Linked DNA regions of Cricetulus griseus. The protein of the gene in region 3 interacts with the protein of the main gene of each other region in a biochemical or structural test. Links are inferred from orthologs where the notes say so. Each region holds a gene or a part of one and is shown on either strand. Other genes may lie near its edges. The genes, in order: Uspl1, Ranbp2 and Rangap1.

Evidence for each region.
Region 1: of the proteins of Rangap1 (region 3) and Uspl1, one has a biochemical effect on the other in vitro, tested with the Homo sapiens proteins (2 studies listed by BioGRID). The link is inferred for Cricetulus griseus from reciprocal best matches to the Homo sapiens genes RANGAP1 and USPL1.
Region 2: the proteins of Rangap1 (region 3) and Ranbp2 form a complex in vitro, tested with the Homo sapiens proteins (5 studies listed by BioGRID and IntAct, with this or other methods). The link is inferred for Cricetulus griseus from reciprocal best matches to the Homo sapiens genes RANGAP1 and RANBP2.

The regions. Positions count from the first base shown.
Region 1 is NC_048597.1:85,015,230-85,019,729, forward strand, and holds part of Uspl1 (SUMO-specific isopeptidase USPL1), read left to right. Parts: intron 1-1,263; coding exon 1,264-1,393; intron 1,394-4,500. UniProt on the Homo sapiens protein: SUMO-specific isopeptidase involved in protein desumoylation. Specifically binds SUMO proteins with a higher affinity for SUMO2 and SUMO3 which it cleaves more efficiently. Also able to process full-length SUMO proteins to their mature forms.
Region 2 is NW_023276807.1:2,599,187-2,602,823, reverse strand, and holds the end of Ranbp2 (E3 SUMO-protein ligase RanBP2), read left to right. Parts: intron 1-550; coding exon 551-824; intron 825-932; coding exon 933-1,267; intron 1,268-1,647; coding exon 1,648-1,953; 3' UTR 1,954-2,854; downstream 2,855-3,637. UniProt on the Homo sapiens protein: E3 SUMO-protein ligase which facilitates SUMO1 and SUMO2 conjugation by UBE2I. Involved in transport factor (Ran-GTP, karyopherin)-mediated protein import via the F-G repeat-containing domain which acts as a docking site for substrates.
Region 3 is NC_048595.1:378,861,539-378,866,038, reverse strand, and holds part of Rangap1 (ran GTPase-activating protein 1), read left to right. Parts: exon of another isoform or gene 1-527; intron 528-862; exon of another isoform or gene 863-869; 5' UTR 870-900; coding exon 901-1,012; intron 1,013-4,422; coding exon 4,423-4,500. UniProt on the Homo sapiens protein: GTPase activator for RAN. Converts cytoplasmic GTP-bound RAN to GDP-bound RAN, which is essential for RAN-mediated nuclear import and export. Mediates dissociation of cargo from nuclear export complexes containing XPO1, RAN and RANBP2 after nuclear export.

The DNA.
Region 1 (4,500 bases), on a different chromosome or scaffold from region 3:
CCTGAGCGATGGCTCAGAGGTTAAGAGCACTGGCTACTCTTCCAGGGGTCCTGAGTTCAATTCCCAGCAACCACATTGTGGCTCACAACCATCTGTAATGAGATCTGGTGCCCCCTTCTGGCCTGCAGGGATGCATGCAGACAGAACACTGTATACATAATAAATAAGCAAATCTTTAAAAAAAAAAAAGAAATGCATTATTTTGACTTACATTTTTATATAAAAATAGCAAGGGCTGGGCATGATGGTGCACACCTTTAATCCCAGCATTTGGGAAGCAGAGGCATAACTAGTTTACATAGTGAGTTCTAGGACAGCCAGGGCTATATACTGAGACCCTGTCTCAAAGAATTAAAAAAAGCAATGGGGTTATATCACAAAGACAACTATTAAAATACACTTGGTAGTTGCAGATGTTTGCAGCACATGCTTGGGTAATGAAACCTGTTGTCTACCTTCTGGTCCTTCCATCACAACAGTTGCTGTCCATGTTTTAGGCATCTGTAGTTCTGGGCTAGGGAAGGACAGGACCCTGAGAACAGGCTTGGTCTAGTGAGGAGGCGGGAAGCAGTCTGTGGTCTGTGTCCTGGGCCTTGTTAAACCCTGAGGATCAGAAGGAAAGAAACCAGTTGGAATAGGGCTGTAAGAATGGGATTGCCTATTAAACTGCCTTCTTGATCTCAAAGCTAACACTTTTAAGGACAGCAGAATCCCTACCATCTCTAGTCTTAAAGTTGCAGGAGTTTTATGCAAGGATTAGACTAAAGGTTGAGTTAAGTGGGGAGGTTCAAAGTTGGTCCTTTACCCTGTCTATCAAATCTGTTGTGCGCCGTAGAGTTGGTGAGTCCAAATAGAAGTGGTATTTTAATGGTTAAGACCAATTCTGATGCGATTCTCTAATGTTTTCACTAACTTTCAGTATTTGTAGTAAACCATGTTCATGGTTCTTGTTTTAAAGTACAGGGATATAGTTCTGAGGAGTTTCCCTTTCTGACAGGAAGGCAGTAGGAATCTCATGTGTTCTTGGATTATGTTTTCATGACATTTAAAATAGAGACTAGCATAGGAGCTGAGTTTATGCAGGCTGTGTTTGGAGAGCTGTTCTGCCTTCCTCCAGATTCACCTTGATTGACTTACTCTGCCAGGCTATGTTCACACATAGGTGTTGTGTTGTAAACTTGCTGAAGGACACCATTGACCATTTAGTGTTTCCTTTTATAGTTGCCTGTTTCAATCTCTGATCTCTCCTTTTTTCTTTTGCAGGTGAGATGGAAAGTCCTGTGTTTGCATTTCCTGCACTGTTAAAACTAGAACCCCATGTTGAAAAGCTTTTTACATATTCTTTTTCTTGGAATTTTGAATGTTCCAATTGTGGACACCAGTATCAAAACAGGTCAGTTTGGGGTTTTTAGTGAATTCTTTCTGCTGAGATGGTTTGTAACAGTGTAATTAAGTAACACATTTTGCACCTATAATATATGTCTTGGCACTTCTACCTACAATACACCTCCTTTCCCCACCCAGACAAGGTTACAGTATAGCCCAGGCAGAACTTGCTATGTAGCCCAGGTTGGTCAAGGCTTGAGGTTTTCTGCATTGGGATCCAGAATGGTAGAGGTAGAAGCATCATCTATCACCATGTCTTGGATCCCAACACCTTTTTTCTTTTTCCCCTAAGATAGGGTCTTGCTAAGTAACTCAGGCTGACCTCAAATTTGCCACTCTCTTGTCCTAGCCTTCTGGGTTCTGAAAATGGAGGCAAGGATCACAGCTGGCTTCTACATCTTAAACTCTCTCCCCACTAAAGCTAAAAGAACAGTTTGTAGCACAAGAATCTTTTAAGTTGGCTTGTTACTGTAAGTTAGCTCAAAAAAAAAAAAAAAAAAAATCCATGGCTTGAACAATGACTAAAGACATTTTCTGTATTTCCTTAGTGGGAAGTTAGAAGCAAATGAGAATAGCACCCTTCACGATCTGGAAGGTTCTTAGCTGGGCTTCTGCTCACAAGTCCCTGGAACTGTTTTGTTTACCCTCCATTAGAGACAAAGCTTTTGTTTGCTTTAGGCTTCTGTCTCCTCATCTATGGTAGCAGCCAGCAGAGGTTATCCCTGTTTTCTGGTTCAGGAGAGCAGTCAGAGGGTAGGTAAGTACTTATATGACATGCCCTCTCCTTAGTAGACCAGGGAAGATGCTAGCTGCCTGTTAAAAGATGACCTGCCAGCTGGGCAGTGGTGATACACAGCTTTAAACCCAGCACTCAGGAGGCAGAGGCAGTTGGATCTCTGAGTTCAAGGCCAACCTGGTCTACAGAGTGAGTTCCAGGACAGCCAGGACTGTTATACAGAGAAACCTTGTCTCAACCCCCGCCCCCAAAGACAACTTGCCTTGTGGGTGATTCTTAAGAATATTACAGTAGAGATTAGTCCTTCCTGTCACAGCTCACCTATGAGCAAGCTTCAACAGTTAGAAGGTAAAATGGTGTGAGGAAATTGTTTCCTAGATGGCCATGGCCTCACAAGGGTGTTCTGGACAGTATGAAAACAGTCAAAAGAGAGGTCAGTCTGGGAGAATGCTGTAGGGAATGAAGACAGCAAAGTTTGCTTCTTCATCAGTTGCTCTAAGCTGCTAGGAATGGTAGGAATTCACACTATGACTGGAAATATTTGGGTAAGCAAGTGAGTATCCCATTCCTAGCTTTCCATTGATTTGTACAAGTGGTCTGGTTTTCTCATGGAGACTCAGTGAGGAACTCACATCAGTAGCAGAATCAGGAGACCTCTAGCATTGTTTTTTGCCTCTGTGGCTCAATGGTGCTAACCTCCCTAATCACTACCTGTGTTTTTAATAATATAAACAGAGCTGATAATCAAAATCAGCTTAATTACAGCTTTTCTAGAATTCACAGCCTGGCACTTTGACAGCTTTTCATTGAGTGTGTTCTGTGTGCCAGGAGCTCACCTAGCCATTGGGAGTGATTTCTGTTGTGGCTAATTCAGATGACTAGTTGCTTAGCAAAGTAGTTATGAAATCACTGGAGAGGGCTAGTGCTCAGCAGTCAGTGCAAGCTTTTGACAGCTCTGCACTTTTGTACATAAGATGGTAAGTGGGCTTGTGCAGTGTTTGCATGGAGCTCAGAGAGAACTTCAGGGGAAGCTACCAATCACTTTGCTTTGTACCTTGTTTTTATTTCTTTAAAGGTAATTGTTAGTGGCTAGTGGTGGTGCACGTTTTTAATCCCAGCACTCAGGAGGCAGATGCAGGCAGTCTCTGAGTTTTGAGGCCAGCCAGGTCTACAGGGCTAGTTCTAGGACAGCCAGGGCTGTTAACACAGAGAAACCCTGTCTTAAAAAAACACACACATACAATAAGTAATTGTTAAAGTTTCTTTAGAATAATCTTTCATTCTAAAAGAAAAGCAATTACAGAGTCAAAGATAAGATGTGGTGACATGTAATCACTGTACATGGAGGTCACAGATACTCTCTTCTACTTTGACAGAAGCTATTGAGCCTAGTCCTTTCATTTTAGTGTCTCGGGGTTTTGTGCTAGTGTATGTAAGGCTTTTATCTGATTCAGTATTTGTGGGGAGGATAGTCTGTAGAGGCTGGTGGTCTTGATTCAGACCCCAATTTGTCTGCTGCTCATTGTCTATACAGAGGCTAGAACACTTGCCCCTTGAGAGTTGTTTGGCAGGGGAGTGCCAAGTTCTGTGCCTAATGATATGCACACTGATACGCACACTGAGTGCTCAGAAATAAATGTCAATCATCACGTGGAACGTAACATTAATTGAGTCTTTACTTAATAGTATCTCAAAGAATGATACACGTGAAATGCAGTCTGGGCATCCAGAGCAACCTGTCTGTTGCTTTGCATTTAAAAGGTTAGTTTTTCTGCAAACTGGTCAATTGTTAACCGCCAGTGATTTTCTTTGCTCACGTACCATATGCCAATATTATTTGTTATTTAGAGGAGAAAAGCTTGTGTTTCTTTGGCAATATGATACTTGTTTTAATTAAGGTATTTTGTTAAAGTTGATGCAACTGAGATTTAGTGTACACCATTGAAGATCATCTTGATTATGCTGGCAATCTAAAGTGAATTCAGTACTTGAACAACCTGTGTAAAAGCAGAAGTGTTCTACAAGGGATTTTCTTCTAATAGATATGAATTATGTACTTGGAAATACATCTTCTTTGTTGTCAGTGATGGTTAGCCAGTTTGCACTATGTACACTGAGCTTTAAATTGGATAACTTTAGAGAAGTGATGCTCACAAGAGCCTCTGATGCATCCTCTTTGGGTCTCTGGTGGTGTCTAGGGATACTGGTTGCTGCTACTGGGTACTGATCCTGGAATGTGATAAGTCGAGACTAGGATTGACCCTAAAATGTCCAGTGTGCACAGTGGGGCCTCACAATAGTTATCTGCAGTGAAGTTTCAGTAGCATTAGTGCTTGGAAAGCTGCCAGTCACCCTTTTGTGCTTCTCATAGCTGAAAA
Region 2 (3,637 bases), on a different chromosome or scaffold from region 3:
GCCATACACATAAAATAAAAATAAGTGGTATAAAAACAGAAAGAATCAGCACTTTGGGGTAGGGCCTTGTTGGTGGTGGTTTTTTGGGGGGGTGGGGGGTTATGTTGTTATATAGCACTACCTGGCCTGTAATTCACTGTGTAACCCAGGCTGGCCTCAAACCTGTTGTAATCTTCCTGCTTCTCAGGCTCTGGATTACTTTGCTAGATTGATACACATCCTTGCAAAGAACCACATCCCTTCTGGTCTCATATAGACTAGGCTTGCCTCATGCTTCCACACCCCAAGTGCTGGGATTACTGGTGTATACTGCCATGCTTGACAAGAACCAGCACTTTTGAAACCTCTTCTGAACTTTAAAGCCATTTTATTTTCACAAAGAGAAGCAAAATATTATATAATAGGAAGATACGTATTGATCTTTATTGCTTTACCAAGTCTAGTCTTGGACATTGTTAGTTACCATGATACTGTAAAACCTGTTGGCATTGGTTAATGGTATTTGTTATAAACAGTGTTATATAATAGGTATTCTCATCTGTTGTCATAGGTAGAAGTGAAATCTGGAGAAGAAGATGAAGAAATTTTATTCAAAGAGAGAGCCAAACTTTATAGATGGGATAGAGATGTCAATCAGTGGAAGGAGAGAGGTATTGGAGATATAAAGATTCTTTGGCATACAATGAAGAATTATTATCGGATCCTAATGAGAAGAGACCAGGTTTTTAAAGTTTGTGCAAACCATGTTATTACCAAAGCCATGGAATTAAAACCTTTAAATGTTTCAAATAATGCTTTAGTGTGGACTGCCTCAGATTATGCTGGTGAGTTACTACCTTCAATTGTCTTTTAATTTTATTGACTTTTCTGAAATCTATAACATATACATGCTTTGTAAGTTAATATTAAGCCCCTCCCCCCCCTCTTAACAGATGGAGAAGCAAAAGTAGAACAGCTTGCGGTGAGATTTAAAACAAAAGAAATGACTGAGTGTTTTAAGAGAAAATTTGAAGAATGTCAACAAAATATATTGAAACTCCAAAATGGACAAGTATCCCTCGCAGCAGAGTTATCAAAGGAGACCAATCCTGTGGTATTCTTTGATGTTTGTGTGGATGGTGAACCTCTAGGACGGATAATTATGGAATTATTTTCAAATATCGTTCCTCAAACTGCTGAGAACTTCAGAGCATTATGCACTGGAGAGAAGGGCTTTGGTTTCAAGAACTCTATTTTTCACCGAGTAGTTCCAGATTTTGTTTGCCAAGTAAGTGTCTAGTATATATATATATATATATATATATATATATATATATATATATATATATAAAATCATGGTTAAATCGGCTAAGACTAGACCACACCAACTGGGGAAGGTTTTGCCCTCATTCTCATCTTGGGAATTTTCAACTTTCCCACACCATAGCTGGCTGGCATTGAACTTGATACTCCCTTTAAACATTCAGATTGAAAGGCTCCAAATTTCTTATGAGGGAAAAACCTTTGTCTTTCTCAAAACACGTATTTCTTATTTTTCAAAATTACTTTTAACGAAATAGGGCATTTGTGATTTACTCTGTCATGATGATTTCAATGTATCTTAATGTTTGAGTCAGTATTAACAGATTTTTTTGTGTGTGTGTCCAGGGGGGAGATATCACCAAACATGATGGAACAGGAGGACAGTCCATTTATGGAGATAAATTTGAAGATGAAAACTTTAATGTGAAGCACACTGGCCCTGGCTTGCTCTCCATGGCCAATCGGGGCCGGGATACCAACAATTCACAGTTTTTTATAACACTGAAGAAAGCAGAACATTTGGACTTTAAACATGTAGTATTTGGGTTTGTTAAGGATGGCATGGATACTGTGAGAAAGATCGAATCGTTTGGTTCTCCTAAAGGGTCTGTTAGTCGAAGAATTAGTATCACAGAATGTGGACAGCTATAAAATAATTTCACAGTGAATTTTATCTATATAAACAGTTGAATTGTTACAGACAATATGATAATTATGTTCACCTTTTGAAAACAGACATTTCCAATGTATAAATGTAAAATTGTAGCTTATAGCTGTTGTCACTTTTTAATGTGTGATAATTGATCTTGCATGGTGTGAAATAAAAGTTAAACACTGGTGTATTTCAGGTGTACTTGTGTTTATGTACTCCTGACATATCTGTATTAGAATGGCTAATACTAATTTTGTTGAAAGCAATAGAGCTTCTCACACTATTGAAGGAATATGATATATGCAATCTTATTTTAATTTCTGTTAAGATATTTGGATTTCCTGCATGGTACTTACCATTGAATAAGGGGACCACAACTCAGATAATTTTATTTTAGATTTGAAATATATATATGGTAATCTTAACTATTCGTGTGCTCATTTATGTATAGACTCATTTATGAATGGATAGAGCCACAGAAGATGAGTTAACCAAAGTGCTCTTCTGTAATTTTTATGCTCCTGTATAGTTAAAAATTAACTTTTAAGTAGAATACTATCTTTTCTTAAGATATGTAGTTCCCTTTTGAAGACATTAATTTTTACATTTTAAGTAAGTTGATCATTTCCTTAGATATAGCCCCCCATCCTTTTTCCTTCTTCCTTTTTTCTTCCTTCTTTCCATTCACTATTCTGTTACCTGTCTCTACTACCTCAGAAACTTCAGCTTGGTCCTGATGATAGAATTGAATTTTTCTCTAGTTCTTGTGATAAACTATGAATATTTTTAAAAGATCTATACCATGTTCTTTGGTTAAAGATTTGCTTTATATTAGATTGTTGCAGTACCTTTTTCTGGTGAATTTTGTAGCAGAAATAAAGTGATAATTGATAACAGCCATGACATTTAAAACATTACTTGTGCATCTAAGTTGTCTGTTCCTTCTGTGACTTGATGTAAAATGAGATCTGTTGAAGGCCAGCACTCTGAGCTCACACTGTGTCATCAAAATGACACTGAAAATGTACTTGGATGTGGTTTGTGTCAAATAGGCAAACTGTTAGGAACAGCTTGCTCTGAGGGGCCTACTCGGTATAGAACTAAAAGGAATCTAGTTAGACCATAAAATTCTCTGTTTTCCAATCTTGAGTATTGAGTCCTTTCTATTTTCTTGTGTTCAACTATTAGAAGAGGGCAAGGAAGGTTATGGCTTATGTAATGAATTATGAAATAACATTACTTTAAAAAATTCTTATTTCACAGCCAGGTGGAATAAGTTGGCCTTATTAAACATGGCCATGCATACTTAATAGCTTCTTTGGAAACCTGTGTAACATTAACCCACAGAAAAGTATTGAAACTTCTCAGTAAATGGAAATGTCTTCTTAAAAAATCATCTCTTGTAGCCCAGGATTACCTTGCATTGTAGCCTAGGCTGGACTTGAACTCTTCTTGATCTCACTACCTCCACCAGGATTGTAGGCATGTACCCACTATGCATGGTTGCAAATGCTTTTTAAGAGATAATTTTACTTTTTCAAACTATTAGGGTTATTAAAGACCTTGACAAAAACTTGACAAAATGGTGTGTTAAGCTAATTTTTCCAGGATTGGCATCAATAACAGGTGTTTCCAACCTGTTGAGTTACCAGGTTGTGAGCCATCATTTGGGTTCTAGGAATG
Region 3 (4,500 bases):
TGACCTTGCCCACAGCTTAGGCAGCACCAGAGGATGCGGGGATGATGTTCTGGGCTGCCCCATGGCCATCATATCACAGCTTCCCGGAGGGGCCATCCACAGATTTCTGGGTGGCAGTGATGGTATGGACTGTGGTCCTGAGTCCTTCCACAATGCCAGAGTGGTCATGGATGACCTTGGCTGGGTGGCTAACAGTTGGTGGTGTGGGAGCATTGCTGACAATCTTGAGTGAGACATCACAAACATGGAGGCTTCAGCAGAAGAAGCAGAGATGATGACCCTTTTGGCTCCACCCTTTTCTAGTGGGTCCTGGCCTTCTCTGTGGTGGTGAAGACCCCAGTAGACTCCACAGCATCACCCCAATTTATGTTGGTGGGATCTCGCTTGTGGAAGAGAATGATGGCCTTCCCATTGATGACAAGCTTGTTGTTCTCAGCCTTGACTGTGCTGTTGAAGTTGCCATGGATAGAGTCATACTGGAATGTGTAGACCATATAGTTGAAGTCAATGATGGCAACAACATCCATTGGTCAGAAATGAAGGCAGTTCTAGTTACCAGGCCCCCTAATATCGCCAAATCCATTCACCCCGACCTTCACCATCATGTCTTAGGGACAAGGCTGGCACTGCACAATAAGATTTGGCTGTGCATTTTTATTTTTTGTACATTTGTGTTTTGCCTACATAAATGTCTGTGTAGGGGTGTCAGGTTCCCTGTAACTGAGTTGCAGACAGCTTTGAGCTGCCATGTGGATGCTGGGAATGGAACCTGGGTCCTTTGAATGAGTAGCCAGTGCTCTTTACTGCTGAGCCATCTCTTCAGCCCCACAAGATTCTTTTTTAATGCAGCTTCTGTCTTCAGTTTGCAGGTCTCCCAGGCAGCCCACAATTGTTGCCAGCATGGCCTCTGAAGACATTGCAAAACTGGCAGAGACCCTGGCTAAAACCCAGGTGGCCGGAGGACAGCTGAGTTTTAAGGGCAAGAGTCTCAAATTGAATACTGCCGAAGATGGTGAGTTCCTGGGCTAGCTGTGTGAGGGGTGGGGGTGTTTGTGAATGCTTACTAGTTAGTCCTCGGGCTTTCTGAGCCATCTCAGTCTTGATCATTTGTCCTGGGAGGTGAAGTCAGTGCCATTGGTCCATTCTAACAGTGAGGCTTCTTCTGTTACTTTGTGTGTGTGTGTGTGTGTGTGTGTGTGTGTGTGTGTGTGTGTGTGTGTGTGTGTTTGCTAGCCTGTGGATTTTTCTTTTCACAGGGTTTCATCAATGTATAGCCTAGACTAGTCTTAAGCTTGTCTGTCTAGCCTAGCCCCTGACTTCAGGGCTGAGTTCTTCCCACCCCTACCTTTATCCTCACCATCCCAGGCCAACTGTCTTCCTTGTGGCAGAGTTGCATTAAAAAAGAGTGGTGTTGGGGTGGTGGTGGCGCACGCCTTTAATCCCAGCACTTGGGAGGCAGAGGCAGGCGCATCTCTGTGAGTTTGAGGCCAGCCTGGTCTCCAGAGCGAGTGCCAGGATAGGCTCCAATGCTACACAGAGAAACCCTGTCTCGAAAAACAAAAGGAAGAAAGGAAGGAAGGAAGGAAGGAAGGAAGGAAGGAAAGAAACCCTGTCTCAAAAAAAAAAGAAAGAGAGGACTGGAGAGATGGCTCAGAGGTTAAGAGCACCAACTGCTCTTCCAGAGGTCCTGAGTTCAATTCCCAGCAACCACAGGGTGGCTCACAACCATCCGTTATGAGATCTGGTGCCCTCTTCTGGTGTGCAGATATATATGGAAGCAGAATGTTGTATACATAATAAATAAATAAAATCTTTTAAAAGAAAAAGAAAAAAGTGTGGTGTTGGGCCCTGATGGGGAATTCCAGTCCTTGAAACCAGACATCACTAGGACAGAGAGAGTTCCTGTCTTCCCACTCATGATCAAAGCTTAGGCAGCACAGACAACCCAGAATCTCTTGCTGCCTAGAAATGAAAGTATCTGCCTTCAGACCTTGTGAGGCCTCTTTGAGTTCTGGCCCAACCAGGGAAACTGGTTTGGACTTCCTATATTGTTTCATGCACTATTAAACTTATTCTCTTCCTCCAGGGGACTTTGGGAACCTCAGAAGGGTGGGGATGTCCATACCTTGAAATGCACAGATTCCTCTATGAATACCAACCCCTAACTTCACCTGCTTTGTTTATTTTGGTTCCATATTTATTTGTTGTGGGTTTTTTGTTTGTTTTGTTGAGTGGATGAGGCTAGCCTTGAACTCATAAAGATCTTCTGCCTCTTGAGTGCTGAGATTAAAGGCATTCACCACTAGATCTGACCTATAGTTGTTTTTCTGAGACAGGGTTTCTCTGTGTAGCCTTGGCTGTTCTGGAACTCACTCTGTAGACCAGGCTGGCCTCATACTGGCTGAATAGCAGAGAATGGCCTGATCCGCCTGCTTCTACACTCATTTGCTGGGATTTGTATTATCATCTCTGTGGGAGGAGGGTAAAAATGCTTCTTCTATAATTGAGACTAAGTCACTCATTCAAGATCACAAGTTTCTTTTTTTCCTTCGAGATTTATTTATGTATAGTGTTTTGTCTGCCTGTATGCCTGCAGGCCAAGAAGGGGCTCCAGATCTCATTACAGATGGCTGTGAGCCACCATATGGTTGCTGGGAATTGAATTCAGGACCTCTAGAAGAACAGCCCTCTTAACCTCTGAGCCATCTCTCCAGACCCCCTCCCCCCCGTTTTTTTTTTTTTTTTTTTTTTTTTTTTTTTTTTTTTTTTAGATTTATTTAGCCAGGTGGTAGCTAAATAATCCCAGTACTCAGAAGACAGAGGCAGGCAAATATCTGTGAGTTTGAGGCCAGCCTGGTCTACAAAGTTACACAGAGAAACCCAGTCTCAAAAACACAAAAACTAACAAATAAGATTTATGTATTTCTTTTGTATACCGTATTTTGCCTGCATGTATGCTTGCAGGCCAGAAGAGGGTGCCAGATCTTACTACAATTGGTTGTGAGCCACCATTTGGTTGCTGGAAATTGAACTCACGACCTCTGGAAGAGCAGACAGTGCCTTTAACCACTGAGCCATCTCTCCAGCACTCAAGATTACAGATTTTACAGATAGCAAGATTACTGATGTTCAGCTGAATTCTCTGTTCCCATGTTTTTGAATAGACACTGATCTTAATTCAGTAAATACAAATTTGAAAACACATGCTGCTTATTGGGCCAGAGAGATGGCTCAGTGGATAAAGGCACTTTCATACCTGAGTTGAGTTGCTGGAACCATGTGCTAGCAAAGAACTGACCCCTGCAAGTTGTTCTCTGACCTCCATGCTTGTGTGCACTCACACAACACAGTAAATAATGAATATATGTGGTTTTTTCCCTTTAGAAGGCTTTATCCCCATTTTGCAGATTTGAAAACCGAGGACATGACAAAACTCCCTTAAGGGCATAGTCACTACCTCATAGTAGTAGAGGTAGAATTAAAATCAAGTTTTGGGCTTAGGATGCAGTTCAGTGTACCTGTATGTACAAGGCCCTGGATTTGATGCCTAGCACTACAGAGAGCAGACAGAGACCCTGAGTTTGGCTTTGATACTCTGGTGGCTAATTTTTCCACCTCACTAGCATTATATTAGGTCAATAGGAATGCCCACCTTACCTCTGAAGAGGAGCTCCTAACTTTGAAGGGGAGTGGGGTACCTAGAAGGCAGAATGTGAGCATCTTTGGGTTTTGAACTAGAGGACCTGAGAAGTGATGGTCACTTTATCTATCTTTGATTTTTTTTTTTTTTTTTAATGTAGTTAGCTGTTGGACAGGGTTTCTCTGTGTAATCCTAGATGTCCTAGAACTTACTTTGTAGACCAGGCTGGCCTCAAACTCTTAGATCCTCTTGCAGCTGCCTCCTGGGTACTAGGGCATCACCATGCCTGGCCCTGCCCTTTTATAAGTTTTCTTGAACAGCCATCTGAGAAGGCTAGCCTGCTGACTTTAGAGGGGGGCCACCTTTTGGAGCAAGTCTTGCAAAAGGCAAAGAGATCACCCCAGCCATTGTCCTCAGGAAAGCTATAGAGGCACAGGCATCGAAGCAAGAGAATCAAAATTTCAAGGTCATTCTTGACTATATAGTAAACTTCAAAACCTGACTGAGCTACCGGGAGACCCTATCTTTAAAAACCATAAAATCAAAAAGGAAACTTCCTATTCATAATGTGTGTAGTGCTAACTGATTAACATCACAATGAATAGCTTGTACTTGCTTGAACATGAAGAATGGTCGGCACAGCCCTAACTAGGCTAGGAGCCTGTCCCATCCTCCTGTGTCCGTGGGTGTGTGGTGGGAATGGAATGTGCTAAGATGCTTCTGAGTTGCTCCTGCCCCAGTGGTTCATGACTGCCAAAACCTGAGGTGCTCTGTTCGCACAGCTAAAGACGTGATTAAGGAGATTGAAGACTTTGACGGCCTGGAGGCTCTGCGACTGGAGGGTAACACAGTGGGAGTGG